Linked DNA regions of Kluyveromyces lactis. The protein of the gene in region 1 interacts with the protein of each later gene in a biochemical or structural test. Links are inferred from orthologs where the notes say so. Each region holds a gene or a part of one and is shown in the gene's direction. Other genes may lie near its edges.

The links.
Region 2: the proteins of RAD18 (region 1) and UBC9 form a complex in vitro, tested with the Saccharomyces cerevisiae proteins (2 studies listed by BioGRID, with this or other methods). The link is inferred for Kluyveromyces lactis from reciprocal best matches to the Saccharomyces cerevisiae genes RAD18 and UBC9.

What each region holds. Positions count from the first base shown.
Region 1 is NC_006039.1:765,330-768,793, reverse strand, and holds RAD18 (E3 ubiquitin-protein ligase RAD18), read left to right. Parts: upstream 1-1,663; coding exon 1,664-2,947; downstream 2,948-3,464. Other genes in the region: HCM1 (Hcm1p), read left to right, coding at 1-1,152; GTPase-activating protein SED4, read right to left, coding at 3,293-3,464. UniProt on the Saccharomyces cerevisiae protein: E3 RING-finger protein, member of the UBC2/RAD6 epistasis group. Associates to the E2 ubiquitin conjugating enzyme UBC2/RAD6 to form the UBC2-RAD18 ubiquitin ligase complex involved in postreplicative repair (PRR) of damaged DNA.
Region 2 is NC_006041.1:441,821-444,448, forward strand, and holds UBC9 (E2 SUMO-conjugating protein UBC9), read left to right. Parts: upstream 1-1,625; coding exon 1,626-2,099; downstream 2,100-2,628. Other genes in the region: PEX19 (Pex19p), read right to left, coding at 379-1,281; SYO1 (Syo1p), read right to left, coding at 2,442-2,628. UniProt on the Saccharomyces cerevisiae protein: E2 ubiquitin-like--protein ligase mediating SUMO/Smt3 attachment to septins and PCNA. Seems to be involved in degradation of S- (CLB5) and M-phase cyclins (CLB2).

The sequences.
Region 1 (3,464 bases):
ATTAGGCACAACTTGTCTTTGAACGAAGCGTTTGTTAAAGGTGGTAAATCTTTGGACGGGAAGGGACATTTCTGGGAAATTAAACCTGGGTATGAATCCAAGTTCTTCAAAAATGATGAAAGTTTTTCCATTGATGATTTTAAGGTAAAGCTACAAAGATTCAAGAGTGTGAATTTGGATGATGGTTATGAAGCTGGCAGTACCACGTCCAGTTTTAATGGATCATCAATTGCCTCGTACAATAAGTCGAAAAGGAAAAATAAGTCATTTTCAATTTCTACCATGGATGACAAATCGAGTGATATTGGTGACGCGGGTGATACTTCCTTGGATCAAAGCAGTGACGGTGACGAAGAATCAACTTCAATAACCAATATACCTTCATCGCCACGATTAGGTGATCACGCCGAAGCTGCTGGTCATGGAAGCCATCAGTTTCCGGCTACGGATAAAGACTTCCTGTATTACGAAGATGAAAATATGGTCAAAAGACAAGACTCTAGTCATCTGGTGGGCCCGTTGAAATTTAACCATCGCTCTGTCAGTGCACATAACCATGAATATGATGATTTAATGGTTGCTGCCGTCTCTTCTCCTAAATTCAAAAAATATTCGTGTTCTTTCAACACATCATTTGAACCCGTATCTCCGATGAACAAGCTGCAGCTGCCATCAGTTAACCAGCAAAATTCAAAGACACCTATTAGGGAAAGCTCTGTCACTCCTCTGAAATTCAATATTTTTTCAACACCTAAAGATTTCAATAAAGATGGTCTGAACCCACCGGCGTCTACCAGAACTTGGCAAAGCCCGTCTCGTCTATTTGAAGATTATTATGCGTCATCACCAGTGTTTTTCAGAAACGTAATCAATCAATCTATAGATGATTGTATGATACAGTATGACACAGAAAAGAAATGTATTGATTCTCCCCGAAAGTTGAGTCTCAGAGATCAAACTTCTCCCAAGGAATCCAGTCAATCAGGATTAATTGATCACTCCAAATATTCATCAAACATTCTTTTTGGTGTTGATGTTTGTTCAGTGTGGAAAAGGGCGATTGCTCATTGTAACAGCAATGATGAAGTAGATAGCTATCGAGAAGAGGTAACAAAAAACGATTTGGACCCTCCTTTTGATGGGATGAACTAATGTTTGCTTTCTTTTTCATATAGAGTCTGTCGTTATCTCGATGACCATATTTTTTGTTTTTCTTCACAATCTGCCTGACGCTTGGGTTTCTTTATATGGCTGAGTTATTTGTCTCCTTTATTTCTTTCAATTTATTTCATTCCTGCGTTCAATTATTGTAGTGTACGCGCCTTTCTTTTATTCATTGGTGTCCTTTTTAAAGTATTTTTATTTGCAATAGTTATTGCTAATGTATGTATCATTATATCAATCATATTTAATTCTTACATTTCCTTCTAACCGATATTTACAATCAAAGGATATTATCCTGATAGACCATATGGCTTTGTTATTTGATCTGACTTCGTTTCATCGTTGTTTAATTAGCTCTGAATAGTGCTTCAATATTATGCCATACTTTGTAAATTACTAAAATACGATAAAAAGAAGCTAAAAGCAGATAATCCGAGTTACCTTCTGAAAAGTATCAAACATTAAATGCTGGAGTGCAGAGGAATCAACCAGAACTGTCATGAAGCTAAGTGTACCTGAAACTATATCGAATCCTCGTGATTTTCTTCACACGAGTGTTCCGCAACTTACTGACCTCGATTCACTTCTTCGATGTCATATCTGCAAAGATTTTTTAAAGGCATCGGTCTTGACGCCATGCGGTCATAGTTTCTGTTCCATTTGCATAAGAAAGTACCTTCAGAAAGAGAGCAAATGCCCATTATGTCTCAGTGACCTCACTGAGTCTATGCTACAAAAAGAGTTTCTAGTACAAGAGATTTGTTCAAGTTACGTGAAACTGCGAGGTTCTTTGCAGAAACACTTGACAATATCATCTCAGGAAGAGGAAAAAGATAATGAAATAATAATATCTGACGAGGCAGATACATCTGTAGGTACAAAGAGGGGTACTCCAGATAGCCCATCTTTATCTTCAGTAAGTACTAAAAAGAGAAAACATGATGGTATAACAACGTTGTTAATGAAAAAGAAAACGGATCATCCACAGCGGCAAGAGAAGAAGGCACAATGTCCTATATGCTCCAAGCACCTGCCGCTTTCAGAATTAGAAGGTTCGCATATTGATGAGTGTTTGAACAAAGGTAGTAGTTTGGAGAGATCGGATTCTTTTGAGATTTTGGATGAACGTACACCCTCCCCTTCGATGGAATCTTCGCATCAACCACTAGAAGAGAAGACTAGCCTGCCGTCTTCACATTTGCTAGAGGTAAAAGAAAAGAAGGATATCACGTACCATAACGAGAGGTACTTAAATTCTGGGCTGCTGCAGCAAAAGGAAAATAGATTACCAAGATTGGATTTTCAGTCTTTATCTATGACACAATTGAAACAGAAGCTTGCTTCTTTGGCTCTACCATCAAATGGCACCAAACAGCAAATGGTAGCGCGATACAAGCATTACGAAATGTTATGGAATAGTAATTTTTTAGATTCAATTGATCCTGTTGACGAAAATGAACTTAAACGTCGTCTATCCAGTTGGGAAGCTAAGCACAATACAGACCATTCTTCTGATAGCAATAGCATAACTAACCTTCTCAGGGGTAATAAACGTACTAATGCTATAAGTGCCATGATCAAACTTTTTAAAAGCGATAGATTTGATAGAAAAGGTTGGATGAGACATCACACGTCAACGTTTAAAGCATTAAAATTGGAAGCACAACGTTCCGATAAACTTGCAAAGATGAAGAAGGAAGAGCTCTCCCAGAAGAGTGATGCGAACTCAGAAGTAAGTTCGGAACCTATACTAAAGATTGATCAAACGTCAGAGAATAATTAATAGAATCTAATATTCTCAACTTTTCATTATTTATCGTATATCAGTATATAGTATCTATAATTCATCTTGAATGATGTCAGGAGATTCATTAAGGATATCTTCTCTTCCCTCTAAATTGCGACCTCCAGATTGCGATGGGGCTGATTGTACTCTTGTTTCCTCGACATTGCTATCACTTTGGGCACCCATAATATTTTCTTCGATTTCAGCGTTGGTAGGGTTTAATTCAGTGTCCAATATGTCCGAAGAGATTACAGGTGACTCAAAAGCTTCTATTGATTCAATATTACCGACAGCCTTAAGCTCGTTTAAGTCTGCAGCTGCAATTGAATCATCCATCGCCGATTATGAACTTCCCGATGTTGTTAATTCTTCGGAAACAGTAACTATGAATTCGCTTTCCTGATCCGCTGTTTTGGTAATGGAGGAAGAAATAGTAGTGCTGGATGAGAAGCTCGATTTAGCTTCTGTATCCTTTTCGGCAGATGAAATGTCTGATTCTTCGAGTTCTGTTTTA
Region 2 (2,628 bases), on another chromosome or scaffold:
TAGAATACGAACATTCCTCAATTTATTTTGTAAATATGCGAACATATGCATGTAAGAACAAACATGCTGTGTTAAAGAATGGCTAAAAGAAAGGGTGCTCTTTGAGAGGGAAGTGTCTAATGGGAGATACTCAGAAGAGTGCACTGTCCCGTATACCTTATGGCAAAAAGTTGTCACATATATTCAATCTTGCATAGTATATTGGTTATTATTGGTTTAGAGCTAGTCTCGTGATTTCAGTCCTCAATATGAATTTCAAAGTCGAAAAGAGAAAAATAGCCATATTATTCGAATATCATACTAATAGGCAAAGAGTGAAAGAAATAGAATAATAGTTTATTATGATTAAATATTATATTATGAGCTCATATACACATTTTATTGCTGTTTGCAGGTATCTTCAAGGTCTTTGTCGATGTTACCTAGATTTTCATCTCCTTGTATTTCCAGCATCTTGGCTAATTCTGACATATCGTTTCCAGGATCGTTACTAGTTCCCTTTGCAACCGGTGAGTCACCGAGTTGCTCTAGTTCATCCAATAGATCTGCGATCTCAGCATGGTACTTTTCATTCGTATAATCATCGCTTTCGAATACACCGATGATCTGATTCACAAGTGCATACTGTTTCTTGTAGTTATCAATCTTGTCGCTGTGTTCGGGGTCTTCTTCGTGTAATCCCATCCACTCGGTGAATTCTCCCTGCATTTGTTTCATCGGCTGATATAGCACTTCTTTAGAAGACATTTGTGAAAGCATTTTCAAAATGGCATTGTCCATTCCTTCTCCGTCCGTACCGTTGCCATCGCCGTTTTCCACTAGTTGATCTAGCAATTGGGAAAGAATATCGTCTGAGTTCTGATTTTTCTTCTCTTCCTCCAAACTTTCATCCACTTTCGTAGAATTTTCTTTCAATCTATCTAGGGTGTTGGAAATGATATTCTTGAAACCAGTACCGCTCTTCAATTGCTCCTGAACGTGTTTTACACTGTTATGGTCTTTCTCCTTCGATGCATCTCCAAGTACAGTTAGCAATGTCTCGAAATTCTGAACCATTTCTTGGTCAGTATCACCGCCTTCCTGCTGCATCAATTGTTGGAACTGTTTCTGCAAATCTTCCATCATCTCGACTACTTCTGGATCATCGCTCTGCGTAGCAGGCTCACCCTTAGTAACTGCCTCATTTGGAACAGTTTCTTGTTTTTCCTGTTCATCCAGTTTGCGTGGATCCTCTAAATAGTCATCCAAATCATCAAATTCGTCAACTTTGTTGTCTGACATCGTTTGTCGAAGTATCTGATTACTATCCGTTGAAATTTTGGTGGTGCGTAGCCCTTACTATTAATTATACCTCAGTTAAGGTTTCTTTAGTCACTGTCAATTCTGAAAAATATCACTTTTTCTTCAAAACACTATTGATGCTTTTTCTACAATATCAAAATCATCTTCAAAATCACAAACAAAAAGACGTATCGCACGGAATATCATATCCTCCAATTATTCAACAACGGTAAATCTGAGTTAAGGCTCTATTTACAACAGGGCGCAACGTACCTTAATATATTTACGGTATCTGTATATTAAAGCGACTCGACGATCAGAACGGCCGAATAATATAAACAGTCATGAGTAGTCTTTGTCTACAGAGGTTACAAGAGGAGAGAAAGAAGTGGAGAAAAGATCATCCTTATGGGTTCTTTGCCAAACCAACTAAAAAGACAGATGGATCTATGAACTTGCAGAAATGGGAGGCTGGTATCCCTGGAAGAGACGGCACTCTCTGGAAAAATGGTCTTTATCCTTTGACCATTGAATATCCTGATGACTATCCGTCAAAACCTCCTAAAGTGAAATTTCCAGCAGGATTTTATCACCCTAATGTTTATCCCAGTGGAACCATTTGCTTATCAATCTTGAACGAAGATCAGGACTGGAGACCTGCTATCACCTTGAAACAACTCTTACTTGGTGTACAGGATCTTTTGGATTCTCCGAACCCTAACTCACCTGCGCAAGAGCCAGCTTGGAGAGCTTTCTCGAAAAACATTAAGGAATATGAGAGGAAAGTCTCAGAACAAGCTCTTAGGTATACCAAGTGATACCTCCATAATACAACTTCGGAAGTAAACCATTTACTGACAGAGAAAATGCAAATACGCAGATGACGGCAGATATCAACTTGCGGGAAACCCTGGGCCTTCCCCAGCGTAAAGCGCAAATCAAATAAATTTGCTGTATTCTATGGCTCGATTTATTCTACGGTGTTGACCATTGTTATATGGCTGTATAGAGATATATCATAGGATGGAACGATCCAGTAGGTGTATAGTTCTCGTGTAAAATTTAAAATTAATATCAAGAATAATGCTAATGAATACTTGATTTATTCAATTATTTTGTATTTTACTATTATCAGGTGTAGACTGTATATATTTATTGTTTTATTTGTTACGTTCATTTTGTTTGTATGCAATAAAACTATCCAATGTAGAAAAGCAATCCTGACATCTTTCTTTCAGTTGAGGATCTTTGTTCTTGTCAACAAACTTGAAAACATTCTTCAAATTTAATGAAACCTGTGTTTGAAGTATCGAAAGATAGTTCAAGTTTACAAATACTGGTTCATCG